Linked DNA regions of Drosophila melanogaster. The protein of the gene in region 2 interacts with the protein of the main gene of each other region in a pairwise test. Each region holds a gene or a part of one and is shown on either strand. Other genes may lie near its edges.

Evidence for each region.
Region 1: the proteins of CG4301 (region 2) and CG10814 interact in a two-hybrid assay, tested with the Drosophila melanogaster proteins (one large-scale study listed by BioGRID).

What each region holds. Positions count from the first base shown.
Region 1 is NT_033778.4:13,373,774-13,380,192, reverse strand, and holds CG10814 (uncharacterized protein), read left to right. Parts: upstream 1-2,461; 5' UTR 2,462-2,504; coding exon 2,505-3,397; intron 3,398-3,696; coding exon 3,697-4,012; 3' UTR 4,013-4,218; downstream 4,219-6,419.
Region 2 is NC_004354.4:16,404,679-16,415,090, reverse strand, and holds CG4301 (uncharacterized protein), read right to left. Parts: upstream 6,783-10,412; 5' UTR 6,014-6,782; coding exon 5,882-6,013; intron 5,309-5,881; coding exon 5,101-5,308; intron 5,020-5,100; coding exon 4,894-5,019; intron 4,774-4,893; coding exon 4,227-4,773; intron 4,150-4,226; coding exon 3,735-4,149; coding exon of another isoform or gene 3,669-3,734; coding exon 2,920-3,668; intron 2,856-2,919; coding exon 2,359-2,855; intron 2,276-2,358; coding exon 1,462-2,275; intron 1,398-1,461; coding exon 1,071-1,397; intron 1,005-1,070; coding exon 791-1,004; 3' UTR 688-790; downstream 1-687.

The DNA of each region.
Region 1 (6,419 bases), on a different chromosome or scaffold from region 2:
TGTGTCCCACAGTGGCCGCAGCTACTTACTGCACTTTGCCAGCAAGCATAGTGATTTTTTCCGAGGGCTAAGGATTTCTTCAGCCGGATGGAAACACAATACGGCCAAGTCCAATTTGGGGCCCATTCTCAAGAGTAGAGTCGGACCTGGGCTTTATGCCTAATTATGCGTTCCGCTGGCATTGTCATGGATAGCCGAAAATCCGAAATCCAAAATCCTCGCCGCCCACGAGGCTAATTAGGCCCATAGCGTTGGCCATTGTGCCAAACCGTTAGACGGGCGTATTGTTAACTCGAATCCACACCACCACGACTCATCATCAGCCACGGGGTTCACTCACCTGTTCACATCCGCTTTTTCTGGCTTTATGAATATTTCAGGCATTTAAGCCTTGGAACTGATTTATTTGCAATTTGATGGCCAGCGAAATAAATAAACCAATTTCGGTTTTCGGCCATGTTTCGCTGGATATGTTGCGGTCGCTGCGGGTTTTGTTTAATTTTCGTAAGTGTTGTACTCGATGTTTATGCATAATTTGCGGTATGTTTTGATCGGTTGCGAAGTAAACCGATAACACGGATTTGCCTGTTTTGAAATGTTATTAAAAAATAACAAATAAAAACAGACTTATTCGGATCGCTGCTTTTCAAAATAAACACTTTGAGTGAATCTACCTTTTTTTTTTCTCCGAGAAATTCATTACTCTGTCTCATCGCTCATTTCATCGATATTTGTCACTATTGTTGTGCCTGATTATTGTTAAGTGCAGGTGGGCTGGCGAAATGGAGCTGCGCGGCGAATGGGGAAAAACTGTCACTTGAATGCATTTTCATTACACCTCATTACATTTCACTTGCATCTGCAATTGTGTCATGTCGCCGGCTTTCGCTGCCGCTGCCTTCGAGCCTATGAATACGGGAATACTCGCAATGAAAACTGCCGAGCGAATGGATTCGTTAGCTGAATGGGCTGTGAGTGTTTTTAATTGAAAACAATAAAGTTCTGCTGGGGGAAACTGGGACTCCTTCCAAACAATGCATGAAATGTAGACGCTGCATCGTGCTGCATACCGCATTTCTAATGCTCTTCAAGTTTCTTAGAATCTGCTGTAGGCCTAGTACTAATATAATAAAGTTATCACAACAAGATATATAATTTTTTACAATACTTTCTTAAAAATATACATTAAAACCAATCCATTGAAACGTTCTACCTTTATTCAAGCTATATCTTCTCATAACTTGTTGGCAATGTATCTGCGATACCTTATATCTTACATTTAAGATACATTTACTCGCTGAGAAGAATCTCAGCTAAAAGCTGAGCATTCGATGGATTGTTCCACTCGCATTCTTTGTTTCGGGGAGAAATGCAAATGGAAGTGGAAATGGTGGAAATGGCGGTTATAGAGCCGCCGTAGATGGATAGATACGAGTCGTATTCGCGCCAGACAATACACTCGAATACAAAATGCGAATGCGAATGCGAATGCGAAAGTGATAATTAAAAATCGCGCCATATATACTGGTTACCAGATATGCTTGTTGCCGGCCGATTCTCTGCTCGTTGTTGTTTTCCCCGGCATGAAATGGTTATTGTTTATGATTTTCCAACGCTGTCGAGCAGGATGTTCGCATTGCAATCACCACTGGTTTGAGTGAAACAATCGATGTGGGTGTGGCATGTGAGCATGTGAATGAAGTGATCAATGCGCCTAACAATGATTGACGCCACTTCCCGCGACCAGGGGCGTCGCCGTGGCATGGGGGGAGGCGCCATGAAAGGGCTGTCGAAGATGGCGCGCTTTTCCACAGCCACGCCCCTTTCCAGCTCGACTGCAGCTGGCAAACAATTATGCAAAATCGCTGGCGTTAGCAGTTTTATGCAGAAATTAATTTTGCATTTTTAATTTTACAGCTCCAGTGGCGGGCGGGGGCTTTAAGCAAGGGGAGCCCAGCTAAAAACAAGAAAAAAAAAAACGCTGCGACAGCAATCTGCACTGCTCACAAAGGATTGATAAGGGTTAGACTTGGATGGTCGAACACTTAAAGAAAAAAAAAGCGAGTTTCTAGATATCTATATTTATGCAATAAGTTACAAATATCAAAGTATTCACATAAATTAGTATGTATTTAGGAAAATATATTCTAAACAGTATGTCTACATACAATATATCTAAAGTATATCATCTAAGGGATAACATATATAATAGTATAATAAATTGGATCAGGTGATAATATGATATTCGAACATATTACGCAAGGCTTCTTGTCATTTCTCAGCTAATTCTTAAATATCAAACAGCAAATATAAGCAAACAGCTTAAAAACTTAGAAAAATATAGTACGTACTTCCTTTTTTTAAGTGTAGCTATGTAAACATCACGCGTTATTTAATCTGGTCCATCAATTTGGCCACGTACCCCTGAGCGTGGGCTTCTTGCTCACCGCCCTAATCAGGCACATCATTCCGCAATCGGAAGACATAGTGGTAGGTTGCTCAAGATGTTCCAAGCGGACCGCCGAGATTTGCCCAGCCAACCGCTTAAGTTGGCTCTGCCAAAGGAGCAGGATCAGTCGCGCCTGGTTCAGGTTCCCGATCCTGATCGTCGGGACATGCAGTTTCCAGACATTTGGCTGCGCGATAATTGCCGCTGCGAGGAGTGCTATCTGCCACAGACACTGAGTAGATTGCCCCAGCTGTGGAACCATCTGGACACCAGTGTGCGGGTCCTGCGGCAGAGCGTGGACGTGGACCAGAGGGTCCTGTGTATAGAGTGGTCCGATGGACATACCTCCCAGTATCCGTTCAGTTGGCTGAGGGAGCGGGACTTCTCATACGCGAATCGCCAGCGTTACCTGCGTGACTTTTACCGCCCGGAGCAGAAGTTGTGGAGCGGTCTGGACTTTGAGAAAATCCGTCAGGTGTTCTACTACCAAGAACTGCTCGATTGCGATTCGGCGTTGCAGCAATGGCTCCAGCATCTGGCAGTTTACGGAGTGGCCATGGTCAAGGAAGCCCCTCTCGATATGGACGTCCTTCGGAGATTGTCCAACCGAGTGGGCTTCATGAGGCGCACCACCTATGGAGAGGAGTTCAGTGTTCGGGCTCAGCCTGGAGGCAGCAACTACGCCTACTTGGCCGCACCACTCCCGCTACACACGGATATGCCCTACTTTGAGTACCTGCCCGGAGTGACCATGTTGCACACCTTGGAGCAGTCCGCGTCGCCCGGGGGTGTCAATCTGCTGGCCGATGCCTTCTATGTGGCGGAGGTGATGAGGGAACGCTATCCGGAGCAGTTCCGGGTTCTTTGCCAGACTCCCGTGGACTGGGCGGACATCGGAAGCGACGGCGATCTGCAGTTTCACAATATCTGGAGGGCACCGGTCATCAAGTGAGTAGATTTAGATTGGGAGTCCAGTAAAGGAGATTTATATTGATGGAGTTCCTTTGATTGCTTAGGGCGACTTAAGAATACATTTAGGTGCAGTCAGACTATAAAAATGCTTATTTTGAGTTCATATTTTTCAAGCAAATTCTGCACTTTTAAAATCTATTTTTCTCGCAACTTGAAATGTTTCAGTTATCTTGAAAAATATTTCAGATATTTTTAGGTGGAGGTAACAATTTGTTGACGAGGGGAAATGCATAGTTGCCCCAGCAGAACTTGGCTAACATTTCGATCTCTTGCAGCTTGGACGCGGAGGGCCGGTGTGTGCGCATCAACCACAGCATTCCGCAGCGCGACAGCCACTTTAGCGTGCCGGTGGAGCAGGTGCGTCCGTGGTACGAGGCGATGGCCACCTTTGTGGGCCTGGCCCACGAGCACTCCTGCAGATTCAAGACCACGCCCGGCGACGTGCTCACGTTCGACAATTTGCGCCTGGTCCACGGACGTACCGGGTACGACGACACGGACCGCAATGTGCGCCACATTCTGGGCGCCTTCGTTGACTGGGACATTGTGTACTCGCGCCTGAGGGTCCTGCGGAATGCCAAAGCCACCTGATGCTCCTTAGATAGCAGGAGCAGCAAGCACATGTTATGTTATGGCTACATTAATTAGCCATCTATCAATGCCAAAATGCTTTGATTGACATCGCAATGTGGTAGCAATAGACAGAGTAGAATCATTAGATTACTTTCGAATTTATTGTGCTCGAGAAATTAAACCATTTATTGACATTTTGAATAAATACTATTTTAATGGTTTCTAATCCTTTGACACGCTTCAATGCTAATTGACATTATTTAATTGGGTTAAACGTGTGATTTAAGGCATTTTGAAGAGGAAGAAGAAGTCACTCGAGAAGTTTACTAATCTGTTAAACGTGAACATCTCTGGCTGATAAGTAATTCTATTAGTTTCGCTACCCTGTAAGAAAGTGACATAGGAATATTAGACTATACGCTGATATTCAAAACTATAAAATGTATTATTCATTCGTAAATATATAGGTAGAATTTTGGAGACTACTATAAGTATTCAATTCAACAAAAATTGGAAAATATTAATTTAATTTAAAATGGTAAGAGTATAAATTGCTTCATGAGCAATATTAGATAACCTAACCTAAATTACAGGGTATGCAGGCAAATCCGTGATTCAACAACTGCTAGCCAAACAGGCCACTGGAAGTGAAAGTCCAGCACACGTCATTGTTTACGCCGGGCAACAAAGTGGCTTATCAGTGGCCAGTTGAGTCAAATTTCAACCAGTATGTCCATATATATGTATATGTACAATAGGTATATATTTCTATTATCAATTTATGGCAATGCCCAGATCAACACCGACTTGGCAGAGCTCTTAGCTCTTGGCATGCGAGTAAATCACACCCACACACCTTCATGATTTTCATTGGACTGGGAAAACTTGGCTGGAATGTCGGGGTGTTTTCCCTTCGCTTTTCTTTTCGGGTGTTTGGGTGCGGTGTCCCGCAGGCAAATCCTTTGGAAATCTTTTTATTTATGTCATTGATGCCACCAGGACCAAGTGAGGTAGCAGAGGAAGCAACCCGGCATCCGACAGCCAGCAGCCGGAATCCGAAATCCGAGTTGGAGCACATGAATTTGTACATGGCATCGGGTAAATCCCTCTAATAATCCACATAATAAGCACTGGAAGTAGCTGTGGCAGCAACAGGCCGAAAGGGTTGTGCCCCGTTTCCCTTGTTTATAAGTTCATAAAAGTCAACGGGCCGGGAACTTCGAATGGGAGACGATTGGGGAGGGGGCAGGCCATAAAAAACGAGCCAAATGCAAGCGGAAAATGCCCAAGAAGAAAGAAAGGCAACCAGTCGCAAATCCAATTTCTTCGGAATGTGTGCGAGTTTTCGGGGTAGTTGAAATTTTACTGCAGTTTCCAGCCAGACCGTGCAGCAGTCATAATGTGTAATTGAAAACCTGCTCTGAATCGCACCCCTGGGTGGTGTACCATATACCTCTTACCGACTTAAAAGGATACCCCTAATTGGCCAAATGGTCAACCAAGACAGGAAGTGTGTGAAATTCTCAGGTATCTTGATGTCATTTAGAAAATAATAACCTAAAATGTACGAACCTTTATAAAGAGGTAAAATAATTATATTACAAATGAAACAAAACTACGGTTATGTTGCTTATGTTAAACGCAAGAAATCAGTCTTGTGATTGAAGACAAGCCTAAAACTTGACGAAATATTAAATTATATACTCCATATTTGAAGTTCAGTGCACTTATTTTACTTTGTAATTGAAAACTTCAATCTCCATAATTCGTTTAGAAAACACACATCCTTGACCCGCGTTGTGTCCTTATCTACATTTTTCCGATCTGCCATGAAAATGAGACCCAATTTGCAACCATATGCATGATCATAATGACCCCCATATTATATGTTTTTTTTTTTTTGGCTAAAGCAACAGCATTTGGGAATATTTCAATGGCAGAGAAAGGGTTTGCCAGCATGACACTCGCACAATCGCCAAACTAATACGCTTACATACGATTTCCACAATTTCCGCCGCGGCTTCTTGGCCGCCATCCTATTCCTATTGGGATTGCGGTCGGGTTTGTGTGCCAAGATTTTGGCCAGGACAATGCCAAGTTTGGGCTGTCACAATGATAAACATGCGGCAATTGACGCAATCATTGTCTGTCCATGAATTGAATTAAATCAACTCAACTCAGCTCGACTCGATTCGACTCGACTCGAGTGGGTGGCCCATCATCGTCGCGCTGACACTTGCAAAATCAGCGAAGGACATCTGTATTTTCTAGCCTGTGATTCTCGAAAATTAATGCCTTCGTTATGCTTGGCGTGCCATCGAAATCAAGCCACAACTATGGGTTACAGCGAGTGATTGTCATTGCGAAAGGAATGGTCTCGTGGTGAACATGGGTTAAGGCTGCCTCCTTGGGTAATGCCCCATAA
Region 2 (10,412 bases):
CCACTAAAATCGTAACCGTCACCAGATCTTCCAGCGACTATATGGCCACATATGTACCTGCAAAATGTTCATATCTCTAGCTCCCCTTGTACAAACATATTCGGAATGCGAGTGGAGATAACATTATCAATGAAAAACGGGCTTCACAATCAAAACTTTGTCCATTGCCTCGGCAATGCAAATGGTAACGACGCCATCAACTAGATAACAATGTGGTGGGCGGCAGTGATCGTGGGCGTGGCAGTGGGTATGGCCGAACCAACAGGTGCCCTACGTACACATATGTGGATCGGGATTGAAGTACATTTACTGACTCGCCGCCCTACTTTATGGTATCAAAAGTGGGGCAACGGCTAAACTGTGATAAAAACGGGCTATATACTTTCGTATATATTTTTAAACAATATCCGATGTAGGAAAAATATTAAATAAATCCTTTATTAATTAGATGTTTGTATCGTGTAGCTGTATTGAAACCCAGCATTTTCGTAAACGAACCATTTTTCCAAGTGTAGTTGCACTTGCTCTCAATAAGTCGCCGAGATTATGATAAAAATGTTATCAGCCTAAAATGTCGTACTTCCCAGTTGATTGCGAGTGTTAGCATACGATTTCAAGGTTCTCCATTTGGGAAGTTGAGATACTTTCCTACCTCTAAGGTGGTGGTCAGAAATCAAATCTATTGTTCAAACGTTTAACAAAAATTTGTTTATCTAACAAAAAAAAAAAAAATTGTATACATGAGGAAATAAATAAATTAGGGGTATAAAAACTATAGCCTAATCGACGATTACAAGTATGTGGACTCAAACTTCTCGCGCATCTTAAGTTTCCGTTGTTTTCCGGGAAAAATGCTGAAACTCTTTATGTTGAGCGCCCTCTGGAGCATTCGGATGGTATAGTCGGGTACCAGGCAGGCCACACAGGTCACTATGATCCACAGCCAGACTGGCAGTGAGGCCAACAGATTGTTGTAGGCCCAGTAGATGTCGGTGTCGTAGTCCCTGCAAATAATACATATACATATTAGTTTAAACCTTAAATGGATACATTCGTAGCCATGAACTCACAGATTGATAACGTTGTAGATAACCGTTGTGACTACAAAGCCCAAAATGGAAATGATAATGGTGAATATATACCAAAAGGACAGATACATTGACTCGAGCCAGAGCTTAAGGTTCACGACCACCACCACCGTCCACATGAGGAGGGTGCCGAAGCAGGAGAAGGCCACCGTCTGTCCGTAGTTCAGGAGAACGTTGTTGTAGTAGAAGAAGCAGAAGGCGAAGTAGAATATGATGACACTGTGGTAGATCGCAAATAGGACCCACATCAGGAAGTACGGCCAGTGGAGCTGCTTGTTGTCCGTGTTCTTCTTGTAAAGCTGTGGCGTTCTGTTCAAGTTGCATTTTTAGTAACATCAACATTATACATATAAACGATTGAACCCACTGTTACCTCATCAACTTCTCCTCGGTGTATGGCTTCTCGGAGATAGCTATGAACAAAATGGGCAGCGAGGTGTATATCACATTGTACAAGGTAAGGAATAGCGAATCGTAGACGGAGGATGAGGAGAACAGCGTGTGAAACTGGAACAGGAACATGATGCCCATAAAGACGATGTTCTTGTAGAAGAAGTACAGCACCAGCAGGGACAGTCGGACACTGTGATAGTGTCCATGGACGAGAAGCAATCTCTTGAGCATGCAAAACTTGGCGAAGGCAAAATCGGCGCATCGTGCCGCCTGCCTGCCCTCGCGTCCCATGATGCCGATGCCCACGTGAGCCTCCTGGATCATCGACACATCATTGGCGCCATCGCCAATGGAGGCCGTGTTGTAGTTCTCATTGGATGACTTGATCAATGACACCACTTCGCTTTTCTGCAGCGGACTAAGGCGGCAGCACAGAACGGCCGTACACTTGACAGCCACATCCCGGAACTCCGAGCTGGCCTCTGCCAGGGCCACGCCCAAGCTCTTGCCGTCAATGAGAAGAGCGCACTCCTGGCCAATACCGAAGATGATCTCACGATCAAGTGCGTTCAGATGCAGGAGCATCTCCTCTCTATTCTTGCACTCCATAATGAAGTACTTCTTGGCATCGGGTGGAATGTGTCCGCAGGACAGGGCTATATTCAGGGCTGTCTCCACCTTATCGCCCGTTAGCACCCAGATTTTAATGCCAGCCGCCTGCAGAGATACCAACGTATCGGCCACGTCGTCCTGCAGGGCATCCTCCACAGCTGTTGCACCGAGCAAATCAAGATCTGTGCAAAGAACAGAAATGCATAAGTTGTTGGCGCCCAACGTGGGGCACCATGGACTTATGTGGAATGTCACTAGTACTCACTGCTTTCAATTTTAGCATAACACTCCTCGCTGAGCTGCTTTCGATTCTCAAGTGAGCTGTTCGCCTGTGCCAGCTCCACAAGGAAGTCCTGGTACTCCTCCTCGCTAATTAGCCTCCTGGCAATAGCCAATGTACGTAATCCTAGTCGTGCGAAATCACTTATATGAGCGTCCGTCTTTGTGACCAGCTCGGCTGAACTGTTGGCGCACAGTGGAAAGACATAGCTCTCGGCACCCTTTGTGTAGATCCACTTCTTGCCATCCGTATCCCGGACAATCACGCTCATGCGCTTGCGATCCGACGTAAACTCCAGGACATGGAGGCGCTGGAAGGTCTCTTCCCTGGGCTTGGCGAACGGTCGCTTGTAGTCCATGTGGGGCGGGACGATGCGCACGCGCAGCGTTTCGTCATCGTCTCCGGTGTAGACCATGCCCAAATTGGCGCACGCCTCCACCAATGCCTTCTCATCCGGACTGGAGGCCTGATAGTCCAAGGTGCTGTTGAAAGAGATGTGAAATTGAGATGCTTCTTCAAATTTTGGATTTTCTTGAATCCGCTTACAATATAAAGTCCCGGATTTCGTTCTTTCGGCGCTGTGATTCAGCCCGCACCAGAATGGTGGGCTGTCGGGTGAAGGTGGGCGCGGCATAGGATTCCCGAGAAGTGGTGCTCGGCGATCGAAAGAGCACACCTGCGGGCGGGGTGCTGGCCGTAACCGGATTTGTGAGGTAGGCATTGGGCGCGCCATATGAGTGCGCCCTTCGGTGACCCGGCGCCTGACCACTGGGCGCTTCCCAGGACTGTTGCAGATCCTTCTCTGAGGTAGACCGTCTGAATTGCAGCGAAATGGGTCGAAAGTTTGTTGTGGGCTCCACTCCGTTCGTGACCGTATTAGGGTCAGTCTGATTGATATTCAGATCGCTGGCGGCACCATTGTTCATCCGATTGGAGCGCGCAAAGTTGGGACTCCTCTTGATAACCACCGGACGCTTGCGACGCTCCACGCCATAGCCGTCGTCGGAAACCAATAAGGGATTAACATCGGACGAAATGATCGTTGAGTTGACCCCATTGGGATGAGCCGACACCGAGTTATCAATGGTGTGGCCCACATTTAGCTCGCTCTGCTGACTAGCATTGTGGCTCTCCTCGGTGATGTCCGAAATGGAGTACATCTCCGGCGGACCCGACTTAATCGCCGTCACTGGCTCCCGTTTGGCAGTGCCCGCATCCGCCTGTTCCAGAGATCCGGAGGCCACCTGAACGGTGTGGCATATGGACAAGGCCTGGAAGAAGACGCGCTGATTGGCCTGCAAGGACAAACGACAGACAGATTTGGGAACGCCACTTAAGCTATAGCGATGGAAAAGACTCACGGAAAACTTATTGATGTCCAGTAGTGCCTTGGTCTCCTCATCCTCCAGCCGCGTCTTTTTAAAGAGGAACTTGTTACCATTTATCGAGCACTGCTGGAAGTTCATCTCGTTCTTGGTCAGCGTGCCCGTCTTATCCGAGAACAGTATATTGATCTGGCCCAGTTCTTCGTTCAGATTGGATGTGTTGACCACGCACGGCTGATCGGTCTCATTCTCGTAAAGCTCAAGGTCCCACTCCATGAACCAACTGCCGATGACGCGCTGCAGCTCGATGGTCACGTAGAGGGAGATGGGTATTAGGTAGTTGAAGAGGATCAGGAACGACAGGTAGTCCTGCAGGAATTGCTTCACACTGTAGCTATCCGTCGCATCCCCCAGATAGGTCAGCTTGGGTATCACAAATAGTTCATTGTACCTGCGGATCAAATACGAGTAGGTTGTATATTAACCCAATTGAAGAATATATATGTATGTAGTCCAAGATGAACTTACCTCTTCAGGAAGTAGAGCAGAGTGACGATGGCGATCAGGGCGACCAGGATGACAATCAAAAAGCGATTGATGTACGTCTCGCTGGAGGCGTTTTTGTTCCTGGTGAGCCGGCTGTTCAGCTGCAGCTTGGAGATCATGCCCGTGTAGACGGCGCAACCGATGACGCATTCCGTGTTCTTCACCCGCGATCCGCGCAGCAGGACATTCTCGGTGGACAGCGGAAGCACCCGACCCTCGCCGCCCTTCAGCTCGATCTTGCCATTGAAGCTGTACAGATCGGTGGTGGGGCTCTCGCACTCGATAATGCCCAGTTTGTGCATCTCCGGCAGGTCGACGGTGGGCAGGTCGCGCGGCACCATCAGCGTCTTCAGGTTGGACTCTCCGTCCAAGTTCGCCGTGGTGATGAAACACTTGCCGTGCGGATCGGTGGATCGCAGCAGCACCAGATCGCACGGCACATCGCAGTCCCGCTCCACGACGATCAGTTCGCCGGGAATCACGTCCTGCGACTTAATTATCGCCTCCTTGCCATCGCGGATGACAGTAACTAAAGTTGTAAAATAAATATTCATTAATTGATATAAATTGAATTGAATTTGTGGCAAGAAAACTTTTCAAATTTCCCAATGAAGAATTCACTTTCGAAAGTTTACTTTCTTTCACCCACCTGGCGAGGAGTTGACCACATTATCGGTTCTATACCGCAGGATATCTTCATATCCTTGCTTAGCGGCGGTCACAGCAATTACAAATACCAGTGGTAAAAGTGAGGTCATCGGGGACACTGGACTATCTGCGAATAGATTAAAGATAAATAAATATTTATTAAGAATTATATATTATTATGAAAATGTTGTTATATTTCCATATTTACCAATTAAAAGTGATATAATTGTCATCACCAGGAAGTAGAAATTCGCAATCCGGCGAAATTGCTCCAGAAGATTTTGTGGCAGGAATGTGATAAGTGTATATTTGGTGGACTTGATGCGATTCTGGCCCTTTGGTCTTTTCTTTTTGATATCCTGGGGGCCACCGATTTGTATTTGCAGCCAATCATTTATTGTACTAACTCTGGAGCCCTGGAAGATAAAATAAATGACAAGGCCATCGGAATACGTTGATTGAACAACAAATGGTAGACATCTAGTGATAAGAACTCGAATTATCAGCGTATTTTTTTGTTTGGCTTATGAATCAGCGTCCTTTTTTGGTCACTGTCTATTGGCATTGTTTTTTAAAGTCCGCCAAATGTTTACTATTAAGATTAATTAACTTTTTTTCGGCAGAAGAATGTCCATCAAGTTGTTTATATGGCAAGTAATAGCTAAAATGATCGATAGAAAAGCGCATAACTAAGCAAATTTTCTATTAAAGTGTAGTTTGAAAAGATTCACCTAATATTCAATTTTTCAGAGATAAACTTCACCAACAAAAGTGAAAAAATAACAGCATAAATATGTATTAAACTTGGTGGTTGGTAAGTAGCTTGCGCAATCGCTTTGCAACCTAAACAAATATCACGCATACGCCACATAAGCCAGATGTAATCTTATACCAAAGAATTCTAACTGCTGACTTTCTTCAAATAGTGAAAAATAGGCACTACCTGTGTACTAAAAATCGTTTACCAAAATCCCAAGCCCAACACACACCTTATGCCAATTCCATAAAAATGCGTCTTTCAGATGAAAGGACTCCTGATCTGCCCACGGTGTCTGGCGATGGGCTCCCAGGCGATCTATGCGTCGAAATCCGCTCAGATGGTCATGGCCAAAGAAATTCATTGTTCATCATTCCAGAATTGGCGCATTTGGTAGCGGTGTGACCACGGACGCGCCCGATCATCGCTCAGAAAGCTTTATCCTCAGACTCAAGCCGGTAGTTGATTTTTCCGGACAATGGAAAACAGTTTTCCTTTTCTTTTTATTTTTTTTATTTTTATGTACGACAATTCTCGTGTTGTGGGGCAATCACATTTTCAAACACCTGCTTGTGTTTATGCGGTCACTCGTTATTTGGCTATTGTTAATTATTGTTTATTCATCGACCGAATGGTCGCACATACATACATACATACATACATATGTACATAGGTCTTGTATGCACAATGGACCGGACCTTTGTAAAGTACGTTTTTATGAATGTTTTTTGATAGTCCAGCTATCTAACTATTAAACGAATGTTTGAAACGATGTGCTAATGGAGTTTAATCACTATTACAGCGTGGCCAATAATTTTAAGCACTCGAATACGGTCCACCCTAATGCACATACAACCATTTGTATATTTATCGACTTTTTCTCAGCACACTTAAGTGTATAACCTTAAAACGATGTTAAGTGGGCAATTTTAACACTTCAATTGAACAGTTCTATGGTGCACATTGGAATCCACATAGGCACAACGATTTTTTTTATAGATTTGTACTATATATCAGTGCGTATTTGCATATGAATTTACATATGTAGATAATATCCAAATGTATTTCACACACCGCAATATCTAGTCTATATCACATCATTCAATAATATCCTTCCGGGATACATCTATGCGTAGCCTAATATCTAATGGATCGCGAGAGAGCCGCGTGATGTGCGCCAGTGCAAAGCCGTTCTCACACTGAGAATTCGATCTGCATTTCTATGGCAATTCGGATGCCATACCTATACCCATGCCCGTACCCATGCCCGTACCCATACCCGTATCCATACCCATTCCCATTCCCATTCACAGCTTCAAAAATCGGTCGTACGGCCGCAGCTTCACATTCAGCTTCGGGCATCCAATAAAAAGCTCAAAAACTTATTGACGTCGCCAGTTCAAGTTTGCGATGTACACCGCGGCGACACATGAAGAAATTCAGACATTCGGCAACTAATAGGTTCAAAGTGCATAGTTAATTTGGCGTATTGTCAATTCGATGACGTCCCCCACTCAAATCAAATCTCATAAAATTCAATTGCTTAAGAACTTGCACTGACTTTCTCATTAAAAAGCTTTCACTCAACATATGTTTTTTTGCAAAAGGAAGTTCAGTTTTGAAAGCAATTGTTTATCTTTAAAGCAAAAAAAAAAGAAAAGAATTCTATTTAAAAGTTCCATGCTAATAGATTACAAAATTAGTAAATGAAGTACTTTAGTACTGATCAATTTCTCGGAGCCACAATGAATCTTTAATTCTATTTTAAAACGACGCCAATTTTAATTTATAAACATTTCACGTTCACATATGCTTATGCTTAATAATAGCAGTTTTCTATTAAACATAGCCAAACTGTTCATGAAAACTCTCTTGGGCACTTTTCAGAGATTTGCATTTGAAAAACATTAGCTTTACCATAAATTGTTTAAATATTATAACAGCGCTAAATAAAGACTGACTCACACGTTGTCACATGTAAATGTCGATCAGTCAACTTAGGAAAAGAAAACCAAAAAAAAAACCCAAATATTTTGAAAAACCCAACCATTGGTGGAGATTAAAAACCAATTGGAAAAACTCGGGATTTCCAAGCCAGCCAAAAGAATCGTGCGATGGAGATCCAAGATTATAAAGTTGCAATCCACTTTATCTAAGCGACGCTATCTATTTTTCACACTCGCATATCGACAAACGACGTTGCTTTATAGCTGAGGCTTATCTAATATATAGAAATTCACTGATGGATTTGGAGACACACTCACACACGTATGTACATGTACTGAAGAAAACCTTATGTTCACTGTTTTTTTTTTGCTGTTGATATTACACAACATCGAGCTGTGGACTCACCCTTTTCTGAAACAATCTCTCGAAGAACTTGCCCATGATGATCCCTTGACTTTATCCACTGCGCTGGGGCTTCAATCCTCACGAGGTTCATTAACAATTGTTGAGAGGTATTGGGGACAATGTGGCACCGACGCGAAACAATAGCATAACTGACTAAAACTGACCGATTTTGGTATCTCTCTAAAATACTTCGTTACCACGAATTCGTCGTATTGCTTATCGGTAATAACAGTTTTTTTTTTTTCGTCTTTACTTTTTTTTTTTTGTTTTTTTTTTTGAAACCAATAGCCGACTAGCCAGGTAATCTCTTCGCTAGATTCCGATGAGTAAGTTATTTCCGATCAATTTCCAATTGCCGAAGCTCGCACACTCTCGTTCAGGATAGACCAATCCTCTCCGAGGTGTTTGAAAGTAGTGTTCCATCGAGTTAACATGATTGTTGCACTCGGTGCGTTGTTATTGTTATAATGGTACGCAACACGCTATTATTGGCTATCAGATGATAGATGTTTAGGGAGTGCAATGCATTCGAGTCTTTTGCTTTCAGTTAACAGCGAACAACGTGCACGTGCTCATGAGAGCCACCGTCTGCCAAGACGTACTTGCTCAACTGATTAACTGAGATCCGTGCAAGAGCACCGGGTCCATAGTCCCTCCCATATCCTCACCCAGTGTACATTCTCTTCTTGGAGCAGCCAGTATTGAAGCTTTCCGGAGCAGCGAGACCCACCCATATCTAACCGCCTATATGTAGACTGCCAAAAAACTGATAAGATTATGAGTACGTATATCTAGGTGGCGAGCACATCAGCTGACTAATCGGCACCGTGCCCGGGATACATTTGGAGCGACATTTGGATGGCATGTTTCCCACTTGGGTTGGGTTCACTGTAGTGCAGAGCGTAAGATATATATACGTATATCCATCCAGCCGTTCGTCACCATGATCGTGGTTAAATTCTATCCAAATTCAACATCTTCTCGTCATTTTACGGTCCATAAATTTCGATAAGAGAGATACGGATATCGACGACATCCAGGGGCAGTTCTTTTATCACAAAGCTTTATCACTTTAAAGGCCATATGTAGTGGAGAACGATAGCTTTACACGACCACCTTGTATTTCACAATTTAATTGGCGTATTAAGTCTTAAGTCGTAGGTCTTTGAGATAGTTTTGTAAATTGAATAGTTGGTTTTTTTTTTAAATATTAAAACATAATCTTTTCGCACACACACACACACACACACGATTCTTCAAAACCCATGAAGCTATGCTAATTTGTTGCAGAATGTAAAAATATTCGAATGCCAGAATGTTTTCTTAGTTGAAATATCTGAGCGATGGTCAAACCTACCATTTTTCTGGCGATTAATTTGAGTTTGAAGAGTTGTAGTGCTGAGTCGTTTTGCACCGGAAGTCCTCTGGCCAAACAAACGGGTAAACAAACAGCGAGCTTTGCGGGCGAAATAAAATATATGTATGTACAAGACCGCTTATGGATCACAGATATAATATATATAGACTTTTGTATATATACTATACATATAGATTATTGTACACAGAATCGAAAGGAAAGAGAGACCTTCCACGCGCAAACTGATCTATTGGCAAACTGTCGAAGAATTGTTGATACCGATACCACGAACAAAGTCGCCATTCACATGGGCTAGCCTGGCGGACCTTTCCATGCATGTTCATGTATATTATATATATGTATATATATAAATATATATATGTGTGCATATATACGCCATTATTTATTCCCATAGCCAAACCCATACCGTACCCATATCGCACCCAGGCCGGGGTTTTACCAACATTTAGATACATATTCCTAAATGCGTTCATAGTCAGTGCATTGGCACTCTTTAATAGTTGGTAGTACCATGCTGGGCCATACGATCCTCAGAGCTACTCTCTTAGCTCATTTTTTGTTTATTTTTTAATATAGATTTTGTTTTTTTCGCTCTCGCGAGCGAATAAGCCAGCGGTTTTGTAGAAGAGATAATGTCGATAACAACAATCTTATCGCTCAACATTGAACGCATTGAACGGACTTCACACACGAACACATTACATATCCGTCGGGGCTTACGGACAAGCCTATCTAAAATCGTGCAACTTCCACATTGACTCACTTATCCCAAAAGCGAATGTTCCATGACCGATGAAACTTATAACGGGCTTCGACATGAGTCAATGGTAAACTATTCGCGAATGGTATGAAGACTATACGATAAGAAAAGAAAGGAAGTCAAATATAATAATCCTATCTATGTTGCATTTTTGCATTTTGGTGTAAGCTACCATTACGGAGGAGATATTAAGTAAGTTGTGAATGGCAAACGTATGATATGATAATCAATTACAGAATATGATAATTACATGCACTTTGGAGCCATAGGAAA